Coturnix japonica: one gene and its partners. Each later gene encodes a partner of the first gene's protein in a complex. Links are inferred from orthologs where the notes say so. Each region holds a gene or a part of one and is shown in the gene's direction. Other genes may lie near its edges.

Region 1 (4,087 bases):
ATGAAAGCTAGTTGAACTTCTGGGTGAGGGTAGAGCAGGCTAGCCCTGAGCTGCTCTGCTCCAGCTGCTTTCGGCCTTTTCTTATGTGGATACAAACAAGAGATGTGGTCTTGCAAAGTCCTGTTCATAGAATCCGTGGTGCAGTTTCTGCAAATAGATCCCATCTGTTTTGGTTTACTGGAGTCGAGTGTTTCATTCGACTTCGCTGGCTGTTAAATCTGGATTCATTTCCTCGTGTGAGATGGGGCAAGTGTCTTAAAGGCTTTTAGACCCCGTGCTATCATTGCGAGAAAGGGAGAGTAGGCAGGAGGTAGCTTGCCAGATTCCAGATCATGAATTGACTGTATCATCATTCGATTCCCCCAGCTCAGTCTTGCGTTGTTTGGAGTCGAGCACTGGATGACTTTTGCACAGGGTGTCCTAGGACGAACTTGCACAATATTACCAGCAGATGTAATTATCACAGGAATTCTGCTGAAGAGCAGCTGCTAGACATTCATCAGGCTGTTAATTTCAGCGGGAGGACTTGCATTTCTTTAATCAGCAGCCTTTTTTATTATTTATTTTTTCCCTTTGTCTCCCTTGACCAGATGAGTTTGACGCCTATATCATTGTGTCCTTCGTAAACGCCACACTGGTGCTGTCTATCGGAGAGACTGTAGAAGAAGTGACTGACTCTGGATTCCTGGGTACTACACCCACCTTGTCCTGCTCTCTTCTGGGGGATGATGCCTTGGTACAGGTAATGGAAAGCTGCTTCCGGCATGTCCACATACATTTGCCGGTGGCTGCTTGCTGCACAGCTGTGGTTTTTACAGTAGTACATCATATGTCGTGTCAAAAGGTGTGGATTGGAAGAGAATGATACTTGGTCTCACCCTTTTCTATCCTGGTAGTTAAACTGGACCAGCTGAAAATGCTCTGAGCTCCCTCAGAATGCGCTCAGTAGTTCTTCACTGTAGTTCAAAGACAAAATGCTTCCAGCTGGCAAGTGGCTTTGTCCTAGTTCATTCTATTGCATTGCTAATAAGTCAGTGCTGCCAGAAGTGATGCTCTCTTTTGGCTTTTGTGTCAGAATCAGAATTGAAGTGGAAGTTGGGAAGGGATGGTAAATACAGGAATGAATGTGACCTTTTTTCTTTCAGGTATACCCTGATGGCATCCGGCACATCCGAGCAGATAAGAGAGTAAACGAATGGAAGACACCAGGGAAGAAAACCATTGTGAAATGTGCTGTGAACCAGAGACAAGTAGTGATAGCACTGACTGGAGGAGAGCTGGTTTATTTTGAGATGGACCCGGTACGTGCATTAGTGTTGTGAAAGAGTTTAGAAGAACAGTGCAGATTATGGGGCCTGGCAGATACTGATCCTCCATCAAACCTGCAGGAAAGGATTTTGTAGTGAAGAGTCCTTCTGGAATGAGTCAATCAAGTCTGGACTGTGTCTGCGTTAGATGACTTAATGGCTAATTACAGCCTCTGAAGTTCATAAGTGAAGCTGGAAGTCATAAACTTCCCTGCTACTATTGTTATTTGAACTGTAGCTAGAAATAAAATCCAAAATGCTATCTTAAAAATTAATATACCAAAGATGTTCGGAGAGACATTTTGGTGCTGGTCTGCTCTGTTACCTAATTAATGAGTCTCTTGTGTTTTTCTGTCTCAGTCAGGACAGCTGAATGAGTACACTGAAAGAAAGGAGATGTCAGCCGATGTAGTTTGCATGAGTTTGGCCAATGTTCCACCTGGGGAGCAGCGCTCCAGGTTCCTTGCTGTCGGGCTGGTGGACAACACTGTCAGGATTATTTCCCTTGACCCTTCAGTGAGTAGCCATTCTGGTTTTGCCTCTTCCCCTGGCTTCGAATGTTCAGAAGAGTGCTCCAGAGCTGGGCTTTGCGTGCTGTCTTTCTGTGTTCAAGCAGGTGACTGGGAAGGAATAGCTTGTATGACTTTTCTCCTCTGCAGAGCTGGGAGGAACTGTGGCCCTTGATCCTATCCAGAAACAGATTCTCTAGTTTTATCTAGTCTTACTCATGTCTGGGAGTTTAGATGATAAGATATAAAAGCATTTTCTGCTTTTTGGTTTTTTCCCCTTATCTCACTGTTTCTACCTTTAGTAAAAGTGAACCCAAGCAAGTTAGCAGCAAAACAGCCTTATCATTTCTCTGCCTGCATCATATCAGCGTTCAGTGGATGACTGAAGTAATGCAGACTTTGCAGTTATTTAGCATGGAGAAACCTGAACAAACGATTCCAGGACAGTTTGAAAGGATCCAACTTGTCTTCCACAGATTACAGGGTTGTTACCATCCCTTCCTTGCCAAAATCCATGCAGCCAGCATCTATTGTGACTCCTTTTTACCCTTCTTTCTGTCTCTCACAGGACTGCTTGCAGCCACTGAGTATGCAGGCCCTTCCTGCACAGCCTGAGTCACTGTGTATCGTGGAGATGGGTGGCACTGAGAAACAGGACGAGCTGGGGGAGAGAGGCTCCATTGGCTTTCTCTACCTGAACATTGGACTGCAGGTGAGAGGTGTCTGCTTACCTCTGGCAGGTGTGCATTGGTGAGCTTTTGTTGGAAAGGCAGATTGCTCGGGTAGCCATGTCATCATACAGTGCAGCACAAAGCCTGAGTGTTCCCTCCTTGTTACAACATGCTTAACGACTGTAAGTGGGGAATTCACCTTATGACTTAGCAGAACTGCAAGTTTCCCCTTATGTTCCTGGGCTGAACACTGGTCAAAAGGCAGCATATTCTCTCAGACGTCATGTAGGACAAGGTAGTTTTTTCCTCTTCCAAAAGGAAGACAAATTCTAAACATTTTTGGGTGAAATGAACTGCCTGTAGGGCAGAGAATCAAAGGAGTGATTGCCCTCAACCGCAGGCTCTGCTCTAATAAATCTGTTGCTGCATGGTTTCTATTGCGTACAGTGCAGACTCTGTGATCCTTAACCAAAAATGTTGTTTTGACAATTCAACATGTGGTAAAAATAATGGGAGCAGTCTCAAGTTTCATGTCAGAATGCACACTCAAGCAGCATGGTTGGGTTGTTTTTTTTCTTTGGATAGATGGTTTGTAATGAGAGGGATTAGGAAATGGAGTCAGTCCTGGAGTTATTTCTGTGGCTTTTGTGATGTGCCCAACTTACCGGTCTCCCTTTATTTTATCTTATATTTTTAAAACTAATTCCTCGCTACCCCTTGGGGAGTGCACAGGAGCTATGGTTTGTAATATTAAGAGCCTAGTTAGATAGAGAATAATTGTAGGAGGGAATTGTATCAGAAGCCAGGCAAACAAAAGCCTCATTCTTCAGAAATTTTTTGTTTTGAGTAGCATGAAAGCTGTATTTAGTTATTCCTTATCCGTAATTGTGATCCAACTTTCTGATTTATTGATGTCAAGAATGGTGTGCTGCTGCGAACTGTCCTGGATCCAGTTACGGGTGATCTTTCCGACACCAGGACCAGGTACCTGGGCTCACGGCCTGTGAAGCTCTTCCGAGTCCGAATGCAAGGCCAAGAAGCGGTGAGTGAGTCGAGCTGTTGGAGGGGTATCGATCCAGCCCCCAGGTGCAGCATCCTGCTTTTCTCTATTGGCAGGCAGGGTGGGGAAGTGTCCTCACAGTGCAGCTCTGGGTAAGGGTGGGAAAGAGAATGACTTAATTATGGAGCCGCCTGCCTCGCAGCCTGCTCTTTCATAAACAGCCCCGCTCTTGTTGGTAGTCCCATACTTCTGAGGAAGTAATGTGCAGTGCTGCCCTGCCTCCTGACCTGGAGTCATCTGACCTGGTGACTGTATGTTCAGTTTATCTGGGAAAGCTCTGCACAGATTCTTTTGCACAGAGACGGTGAAGAAACTCACCTTGGCTGCTGCAGTTAGCAGACTGAAGGAGCCCCGTGCTTCTTGACCATTTGATGCAGTTCATGGCCATCTCCTTTCTAGCCAGGGTCAACAGAGTTATCGTGCATGGTTCAAGGAAAATATTTGTAGGATTTGGCATAGAGGGGAGAACATGTTTCATCGGAAGTGCCATTTATTAGCTGTTCTGATGTGACACTGGGGAGATCAGCCACCCCCTGCTTG
Region 2 (4,563 bases), on another chromosome or scaffold:
GCAACCAGTACAGAAAGGTTCCTGTTGCTGCAGAGGAGGTGTACAAACACTGCTGGATTTACTGCTACAGTTTTAAAACCCAAGAAGCGATGCTCAGGAGAAGCATGTACATTTATGTGATTAAGTTAAGGACACACATCTTACATTAAACATTGCAAGTAAAGCATTCCGTGTGTTTGCTGGCTGTCTTCACACCTTGCCTTTCACAATGTTCTCCAAGGCCTTCGCCACTTCGTCCACACTGAGGTTATGCAGCGACACACTTTTCTCCTTGCCAAACTCTGCAGAAAAGAGGGAGGGTTGGGCTTCATTCTATTGTTCTGCTGAAGGGTGAACCAAGGCCTCGCTTTGGGTTTCCCAGGGCCAGTGTCACCACCCCTCAGCTCCCTGCTGTCCCCAGGTCCTTCCCGTGCCCTAGTTACTCTTTCCACCTTTCTTGACCCCGCTGCTCAGTGATATCCCTTGGAGAAACCAACGTACCCTACCACATTTGCTCACCTCTTAAAATCAGGGCACTGCAGCTGAGCAGAGGCCACTGTGATGTCCCAAAGTGATCAACCCGGTTTGGCTTTTGGCTCATGTAAAGACTATCACAACCCCCTCAGAAAAACTGTGCTGAAAAACTCACTGCTCCTATAGTAGCCCTTACTGGGGGCTCTATCTTCCTGCAAATCACAAAGAGACACAGATACCTGCAGGTTGGTGCTGGCACTAGGGTTCTCCTATTTGAAAGGTGAGTACATCTGGGGGGACCTCAGTGCAGCCTTCCAGTGCTTAAAGGGAACTTACAAGCAAGATGGAGAGCCACTTCTTACACTTTATGAGAACAGGACAAGGAAGGAAGGCTTTAAAACAGGGAGACTTGGGCCAGATGTGTGGAGGAAACCCCTCACCCGGAGGGCACTGAGGGGGCAGTGCTGCTCATAGCTGGGGGGGGGCCATTCTACGATGGGCCCTGAGCAGCCTGAGCTGGGGGGGAAGGTTGGGGAAGGCACTGAGCTGCTGCTGGCGGCTTTGGGACAAAAGCAAAGCACTCACAGCACACAGAGCACACACTCACAGCACACACACACCATACACAGCACACAGCACACTCACTCTCACTCACTCACTCACCGTATCTCGCCCACAGCCGGGGCTGCACCCCGGAGCACTCTCGGATGAGGATGGGGAAGTCGGGGTTCGCCTGCTTCAGCGTCACGTAGTGCTGCTCGATGAACTCCCTGCCAAGGGCAGCAGCCGTCACAGCCCGGTACAGCCCTATACGACCCTGTACAGCCCCCGTCCCGGTCCCGGTCTCACCTGACTCCCCGGCTGCCATCAGATCGCTGACACAGATGTACTCGCAGCTCCCTCAGCCCGCGGCCCAACCCGCCCCCGATGCCCCTCACCGCCGCCGCCGCCATCTTGAGCTCTTCCGCCGGAAGCACAAGGAGCGTGACCCCGGCACTCAGCCAATCGGAGCGTGACCCCGGCTCTCAGCCAATCGGAGCGTTTTTCCGGCCAAGTGGCCACTTCCGGCACTTCCAGCACTTCCGGCTTGACAGCTGAGGGGAGAGGAGTAGGCCGCGATGCCGGAACGGGACGGTGAGAGGAGCGGGGGGAGGGGAACGGGGGGTGTTGGTGTTGGTGTTGGTGTTGGTGTTGGTGTTGGTGTTGGTGTTGGTGCTGAGCCCGTTGCTGAGCGCTGTTCCGTCCCGTCCAGGTGAGCCGTTCTCCAACCCTTTGGCCCCCGATGGGCACGATGTGGACGACGCCCATTCCTTCCACCAGTGAGTACCGGGCGGAACAGCCCCGAGTGCTGCACACCAGGCACTGCCCTGCAGCACACAGACACTGCACACAGACATTGCACACAGTTACAGCCCCCGACCCGCCGGTCCATTGCACGTACTGGGAGCTGATGGCGGCTCTTGTCGTTTCCCCCAGGTCCAAACTGACCAATGAAGACTTTCGGAAGCTGCTCATGACCCCGCGGGCGACGCCAACATCGGCCCCGCCATCCAAATCCCGGCACCATGAGTGAGTTGGGGTCGTTCACTGCGCTGTGGGCACAGCATTCAGCCCTAAGGGTGATGGAGCTGCCTGGCTCCATAACCCCGTGCTCCACAGTGGGGTATTTAAAGTATTTTACTATGCTAGTAAGTGTGGATGTAGGGATGGGGGAGCAGAGCTTGACCCAGCTTTGTGCTGGGTGTGCAAGTTGCACGTGTGTGTTGTTGGACTTAATGTGAGAAACTGGTGGCTCAGAGCTGTTAGAATGTTTTACATGGATTTTAAGAAGCAGATCAGATTCTGCCAAGTGCAGATATGAGCTTTGGCCTCCTCTCCTCGTTGACACACTGGACTGTGCTGTTCCTGCCTTTGGGCTCTGTGATGTCCAGCTGGGACTCTCCCATCATGCTGTGCAGGTTGTAGCTGTTGTTTCTTACCCTTTTCCAGGATGCCCCGGGAGTACAATGAAGATGAAGATCCAGCTGCTCGTAGAAGGAAGAAGAAAAGGTAAGCATTGAAAGGACGTTCATCTTTTCCTTTTGGAAGGGAAGACTGAGCTCCTCATTACAACAGCTCCATCTTATCTGAGATGTTGTATCCCACAGTGCTTTATTTTGTGTGTGGGGAGGAGATGGAGAGTGGAACAGGCGTGTGCTGGGCATTAGAGGGTGCTGCACGAGCAGTGCATCAAGCACTGAATGTGTCACTAATGTTGGGCTGTTTCTCCAACCTCAGCTATTATGCGAAGCTGCGCCAGCAGGAGATAGAGCGTGAAAGAGAACTGGCTGAGAAGTACAGGGATCGAGCCAAGGAGAGGAGAGATGGTGTGAACAAGGACTACGAGGAAACAGAGCTGATCAGTACAACTGCAAACTATAGGGCTGTGGGGCCCACTGCAGAGGCGTACGTGAGCTTGTGACATGGCCTTCTTTTAACACTTTGCTCCACAGCAGCTGCCCCGTAACAGCCTCCGCTTTTGTTGCACAGGGATAAATCTGCTGCAGAGAAGAGGAGACAGTTGATCCAGGAGTCCAAGTTCTTGGGTGGTGACATGGAGCACACTCACTTGGTGAAGGGTCTGGACTTTGCCCTGCTGCAGAAGGTGAGTACAGGTATCACCACGCTGCTCTTCTGTTATCGTGGCCTGTCCAGCTGGCAGAGGTGGTGAGGAGGGGGTGGTGGTTCCTGCTGTCACATACTGTGGTGTTGCCAGCGCATTCCTGGAATGCATTGTCCTTGCATGGAAGGATTTATGAACGGCTGGGGACCTTGTGGCAGTGGCCTTTGTTGTTGCAATGAATGGCAGCAGTGTGACGTGGTCTGTAATGCACGGATCTACTCTGTGTGGTAGGTGCGGGCTGAGATTGCCAGCAAAGAGAAGGAAGAAGAGGAGATGATGGAGAAGCCTCAGAAAGAAACCAAGTGAGTGGTGGAGGGTTTTGCGTTGCTGAGTGCAGCTGCCTCTCAGAGGGGATGATGCAGAGGGGGTGAGTGCTTAGCATGCTTCGTTTCTGTGTCTTTCCAGGAAAGATGAAGATCCTGAGAACAAAATTGAATTTAAGACTCGGTTGGGTAAGGCTGTGTGCACGTGGCTGTGCCCTTATTTGTGTTGTGTTTTGGATGTGAGAGAAATGCTGAAGCGGATGGAAGGAGGCATATAGGGTTCAGGAATAATGAACTTGAGAGCACAACCGTGGCTCTTAGGAACTGATTCTGATGTTTCTGATCAAATAAACACAGTTCTTTATGGGCTTGTCCATTGCTCTCCTAGGAGCACCTTAAGAGCATTCCTTTTCCCTCCAGGTCGAAATATCTACCGCATTCTGTTCAAGAGCAAAGCCTACGAGCGGAATGAGCTGTTCCTGCCGGGGAGGATGGCCTATGTGGTAGATCTGGATGATGAGTACGCTGACACTGATATCCCCACCACGCTGATCCGGAGCAAGGCCGACTGCCCCACCATGGAGGTATCCAGCTGGTGTCCAGCTCCCCTGACTGTGCTGGTTTGAATTGCCTGGAGCAGGGCTTGCCCTCTGCAGAGTCAGCCACTGCCATGGGCATTTCTCTTTCAGGCACAGACTACATTGACCACAAATGACATCGTCATCAGCAAGCTGACACAGATCCTCTCTTATCTCAGGCAAGGAACTCGCAACAAGAAGCTCAAGAAGAAAGACAAAGGTAGGTGCTGAAGGGAGCCAAGTGGAAGGACTCATGCTTGAAGCATATCCCGAGAGAATGAGATACGTTTTGATTTCCCGCATTCCCTGCACTGTGGGGCAGTGAACTTGGAGGACAGTGACTTCCTGTTGCTCTCCAAACACTGCATCCTGAAGGCAGGGTGTTCACAGCTGAATAAGCGCTGAGAAAGTACAGCTGCAGGAGTGGCTTGTGCTGCTCTGTTATCCCCATTCTTAACCAGTTTCTTAGGGATCTGCCTTCTGTGGGGGAAGAACTTGATGGCTTGCTGAGGTGCTGAGCTGTGATGTGGCAACATAAGAGGAAGCTGGGAGGGTGTCCTCCAGGCCTGCCACTGTTTGGGCTGGGAAGCAGCACAGGTGGGGTGTG
Region 3 (4,745 bases), on another chromosome or scaffold:
TCCCTTAAACTGAAAAAAAAGCCTACTTTGAATCTAATAATATAATACTCCCAAAGGTCTAAACTTCATGCATTTGCTGTGCTGACACATATCCACTTAAGTACACACCCACTTGACCTGACGTGACTGCACATACCATAAAAGGAGAAACAACCCATTATCCTAATAAAATATTTGCTTATGTTTTATCAGTAGTTGTTTCTCTTCAAAGTGCAAAGTAGCAATTATTTAACAGTCAACGATGAATACACTGAGATAACTGCAATGATGCCATGTTGTAAGTTTTACTTTAAAAAACAGTCCTTTTCTAAGACATCTGCACCGAGAGCAACAAAGTAATAACATAAAATGTGAGTAAGAACCATAGAATCACTGAATATCTTGAGTAGAAAGAGATCCATAAAGATCATCAAACCCAACTCCTGGCTCCACGTGGTACCACCCAAAAAGCCGGCCCTATGTGTGAAAGCATTGTCCAAACACTTCTTGAACTCTGGCAAGCTTGGTATTACGCCCACTGCCTTCTTCACAAAGTGCTTTCAAAGCACCTCACTCAACGATCCTTCACGTGTCCCTTCCAAGCTGAGCTATTCTGTGACTCTCTGATAAGGTTATTGCTGCAGCTCCCTGGGTAGAGGGAACACCCTCCCCAAGGTCACAGCTGGCAAATGGAGCAGTCCGAGCTCTCAGCTTCACCATGTGGCACGTACTGAGGGCAGCACAGCAAGCAGCACTACATGAGAAAATGGCATTCTACTGCCTTCTAGGCTTTAAAAAACAATCAAGTGTTTATTAGTGAGTAGATAGTAAACGGGATAATGCCCTTAGTACTGTAGTGCCCGTGATGGGCACAAGCAGACGTGGGTTTTAGAGGTCACAATGGAGAAGACTGGGAGAGTCATTATGAAGGTAGATTCAAGCCATTTGGAAAATAAAATAATAATAATAAAAAGATAATTGATGTGGCCGCCTGGCCTTGCACGGCCCCTTTAACAAACAGATCTAGGAACTCCCATCCACATGAAAGGCCGCAGTCCTGGAGCCGGGCAGCCAAGGGCACAGGCTGCTAACGGCACGAGATGAGGAGGAGCCCGCGGAAGGAGGAAGCACGGCCCCAGGCGCGATATCTCGGCCTACCCGGGCGCGGTCACCTTGCGCTCACCTTGAGGCTCAGCGGTGCCCGGAGGCGGCGGGACCCGCCCGACACCGAGGCCCATCAGGCGGCCGAGCCGCCTCCGCCGGTGCGGCCCCGCCATCGCCATGGAAACGGGCGTCGGGCCGCGCCGGGGACGCGCTGACCTACACGCGCAGACAGCGGAGACCCGGCCCCACGCCTCCGCCCGCCGCCCCGCGCTCCCTCTGCCCTCCGTCCAGGATTGCAGCGGCCCTCACCCCACCGCCCAGCCCGGCCTCGCCCGGCCCCGCCCGTCCCGCGGCGCTCACCCGCAGCCGAGCCGCCAGGACGCAGTACGGCGCCATTTTGTGCACTGACAAAGATGAAGTCGCGCCCCGATGGCGTCAGTCCGCCCTTTTGATACCTCTGGCGCGGGAGGAGGCTGAAGGGGGCGGGGTCCAGCGGGTCCTGGCAGGGAGGTACCGGAGGAGAGAGCGGCGTTCCCATGGCGGGGGTACGGGCGTTCCCCGCGTTGAAGGGAGCAGCGAGGCGGATTGGGTTTGAAGCACCATGCGGAGCTCGGTTACGGGTCGGTGTCCCCTCCCGGAGCGCCGCTTTGTCGGACGCTCTCCACACCCCTGACAGGACCGGGACACGGCGGCAGAGCACCGAGAAGTGTCGCCGGCGCCATGGCCAAGCACCATCCGGATCTCATCTTCTGCCGCAAGCAGGCGGGCGTCGGTGAGTACCGGCGCGGTCGTGGCCCTCCGCACCTTGACGGTGGGCTCGGGCGGCAGTTCGAGCCCGTTAGGTGCCCGTTAGGTGCCCGTCAGGCCCCTCGCGCAGCTCCTCGTTCTTCCCTCGGCCCTCTGAGCTCGGGGTTCGTGGCGCTCCCCGAGGCCGCAGGGATGTGGTTGGGGATCGCGATGCGGCGCTGAGTGCGGGTTTCCTTATGGCCGGTGGGAGCCGTTGGCCGGACACCGTGCGGAGGGACTGTGGGCCGGGTGGGTGTGCCCTGAGGACAGGCGTCGCTTGTATTTGCGTTCTAAATGTAGCCTCAAGTAATATGTGTTTTTTCGCATTCTTTTTCCCCTTACAGCAATTGGAAGGCTTTGTGAGAAATGTAAGTACATCTTCTGCGTGTAGTTGTTTGAGAACCCAACTCTGTGGTAAGTGCCTGCAGCTCGGTTTCTCTTTTTGCTCTGCTGCTGACTTGGGGTCACAACCAAATAGAAATAGCAGGTAACTGCAGCTTGGGCTGGGAGGAGTGACCTGTGTGTTGGCCTGAGTGTATGGAGCAAGTGCGAGAAAAAGACCGCACAGCTTCCCTTCAGCATCTGTTAGAATGGGAAATGGATGGAAAAAAGTGCTACAGCAGATGAATATGCAAAAACAAATATCTATGCAACCTACTGCAAGGAACCTGCTTTGGCCAAAGTGTTGGACTTGATTCCTGGAGATCCCTTCCAACCCCTATAATTCTGTGCTCGTGCTCACCTATAGCAGAAAAGAATAAGCACAATTGGTCATTAGATCCTTGCAGGAGCTCAGTACAAGTAAGCCAGCTATTTCTAGGCTCCAAAAAATGTTAAAAACAAGCGAAGTGAGGAGAAGCACAGTCTGAAGCAACTGAACTGTTTTCAGAAGTACACAGAAGTTAAATGGATTCCCAGTGGTAGTAGCTGAGGGCAGTTGGGACTGAGATTGAAGAGCAGGTTAAATGAGCTGTTTGTGAGAGTCAGGATTAAATACCTTGGGAACTGGTAATAAGATCTGAAGCCTTTCATCTGGAGGTCAGAGTTTTGGATCGGGGCCCGCAGAGCAGAGACTGTCCATGGCATCTGATGGCTGTTTGCCTGTATGATAAGAGCACTTGTATTTCTCTCAGTCCCTTGTGAGAAAGCAAGAGCAACTCTGTGAAGTGGCAATTTATGCCGGTTTGCCCTTTTTTTGGCCTTGGATATGGCTGGCTGTTGGCCCTCGTTCCTCTGAAGTCTGTGTAAATATAAAGTTGCACCTTGTGCCTGTAAGCTAAAGTTCTGCAGTCTAACTGCGTTGTCTTTGAGCATACAGGCAAGTTCTTTGTCCAGCAGACTTTTCCTCTTTTATGTGGGGTGGAGAAAAGGACGTTCTGTAACCAAAGACTGCTGTACTTGCAGGTGATGGCAAATGTGTGATCTGTGACTCGTACGTGCGGCCCTGCACCCTGGTGCGCATATGTGATGAGTGTAACTACGGCTCGTACCAAGGGCGCTGCGTCATCTGCGGGGGCCCAGGGGTGTCTGATGCCTACTACTGCAAGGAGTGCACCATCCAGGAAAAAGATGTACGTTGTCATCCAGTCTCCTGTAGAATTGCTTATGTCTTTGTTTAATAGCTATGCTTATCTTTAAAGGGACTTAGAGCAAGTGATATTAATGTTAGGACATTGGATGCTTGGGTTCCTCTCCCAGAACTGGCACTGGTTTTCATTTCCTTGCATGTTTCTTTTTCTGTCGGTGGTTCCCAGTGTTTGTGGAGCACTTTGAGGTAGCGAGCAGTGCCTCGATTCTGTATCCCATAGGATCCTTGTGTGCTTTACGATGCATACTCACAGTTCACTTCCTCCACGCTCTGCTTGTTACCACTTTCAGCTGTTATCTTACTAAATCTCTCAGCCAAAGTTTTATCAGCAGCAGAGACACTTTAGACGTTGCAAAGGCAGTGGCAGGATCAGCTTCTTACTGTGTCCGTGATCATACCATACATGGTATGATCATGCCACTGGCATATATGGTACCATAAGGCCTACAGAATCACCACCCATGTTTACTTTTGTGTTACAGTAAAATTAGCCCTTAGTGTCCTTCGTCCTTTGACAAGGCAGATGCTCGCTCTCTAGGTATTCAATAATATCCATCATAGTGAGGGCAAGTCATGAAGAACTGCCAATGAAGTAGTAGAAAGACTGTAGGGAAATGCAAGAACGTGATGCTTGCGGTTGCAGTGTGTCAGAGTATGGACCCAATGGAGAGTATCGGCTGTGTGGTTTTGGGGCTGGATCCTTTGCAAACACCATCTCCAGCACACCCTGATGTCAGCAGAGTGTGCTGACAAACAGCTCTGATTTAGAGGAATGTACTTAGCTGACTGAGCTGCTGCTTTAATTTTCTGCAGCACCCATATTTTCTCTAGAGGTCTTGCAGGGCAAGCCCGTGTCTGAATTTAGTCAGTAGATCTGGCGGGAGCACCATCTTTCTTAGTATCTAAGTATTATATGTGGATAGAAATGCTGTTGGTGGTACTGCCTTCTACATCTAGAAGTGCTGTGACAAGCAGTAGTTTTGTTGTCTTGTCTGTGGGACCAAAGAACTTGTTTGGCAGTTTATCAGTTAAATAGACCAATTCATATTGATTCCTAATAGGTATTTTTCGTGCTCTAGTCTCATCTGTAGGTTCAGATGTAGAGCAGCTCGCTGCTCTGGAAGGGAGGGTTATAGAGAATATAGAGCTGGAGGAGCAGATAGCAAGTCAGAATTGAGGTATTTTGATAGCTGGATGAAATCTTCTATAGAAGACCATTGATGTGTACCAGCAAACTTGCATATTAGGAACTATTGCAAATGTGAATTTGCAGATCTAAAAGAGCAAG

The links. The genes of interacting proteins can lie anywhere in the genome.
Region 2: SF3B3 (region 1) and IK share a complex: the UniProt entries of both Homo sapiens proteins name them as parts of the spliceosome B complex. The link is inferred for Coturnix japonica from reciprocal best matches to the Homo sapiens genes SF3B3 and IK.
Region 3: the proteins of SF3B3 (region 1) and PHF5A are in contact, whole or in part, in a crystal structure (PDB 7B91), measured with the Homo sapiens proteins. The link is inferred for Coturnix japonica from reciprocal best matches to the Homo sapiens genes SF3B3 and PHF5A. Residues at the interface, in NP_036558.3 of Homo sapiens: Gly85, Arg86, Gln104, Glu105, Thr106, Phe107, Gly108, Lys109, Ser110, Leu140, Ile154, Ser155, Ser156, Pro157, Glu159, Ser1162; in NP_116147.1 of Homo sapiens: Gln14, Ala15, Gly16, Val17, Arg44, Asp47, Glu79, Asp81, Arg82, Asp83.

Annotation. Positions count from the first base shown.
Region 1 is NC_029526.1:909,007-913,093, forward strand, and holds part of SF3B3 (splicing factor 3B subunit 3), read left to right. Parts: intron 1-590; coding exon 591-742; intron 743-1,145; coding exon 1,146-1,301; intron 1,302-1,667; coding exon 1,668-1,823; intron 1,824-2,384; coding exon 2,385-2,528; intron 2,529-3,406; coding exon 3,407-3,529; intron 3,530-4,087. UniProt on the Homo sapiens protein: Component of the 17S U2 SnRNP complex of the spliceosome, a large ribonucleoprotein complex that removes introns from transcribed pre-mRNAs.
Region 2 is NC_029528.1:15,122,043-15,126,605, reverse strand, and holds the start of IK (protein Red), read left to right. Parts: upstream 1-1,464; 5' UTR 1,465-1,571; coding exon 1,572-1,587; intron 1,588-1,705; coding exon 1,706-1,772; intron 1,773-1,929; coding exon 1,930-2,022; intron 2,023-2,442; coding exon 2,443-2,502; intron 2,503-2,730; coding exon 2,731-2,898; intron 2,899-2,982; coding exon 2,983-3,097; intron 3,098-3,346; coding exon 3,347-3,417; intron 3,418-3,520; coding exon 3,521-3,567; intron 3,568-3,798; coding exon 3,799-3,962; intron 3,963-4,067; coding exon 4,068-4,176; intron 4,177-4,563. Other genes in the region: NDUFA2 (NADH dehydrogenase [ubiquinone] 1 alpha subcomplex subunit 2), read right to left, coding at 190-281, 1,117-1,223, 1,303-1,406. UniProt on the Homo sapiens protein: Involved in pre-mRNA splicing as a component of the spliceosome. Auxiliary spliceosomal protein that regulates selection of alternative splice sites in a small set of target pre-mRNA species. Required for normal mitotic cell cycle progression.
Region 3 is NC_029516.1:45,262,885-45,267,629, forward strand, and holds the start of PHF5A (PHD finger-like domain-containing protein 5A), read left to right. Parts: upstream 1-1,646; 5' UTR 1,647-1,803; coding exon 1,804-1,855; intron 1,856-1,971; exon of another isoform or gene 1,972-2,066; coding exon of another isoform or gene 2,067-2,118; intron 2,119-2,213; coding exon 2,214-2,237; intron 2,238-3,273; coding exon 3,274-3,440; intron 3,441-4,745. Other genes in the region: ACO2 (aconitate hydratase, mitochondrial), read right to left, coding at 1,444-1,479.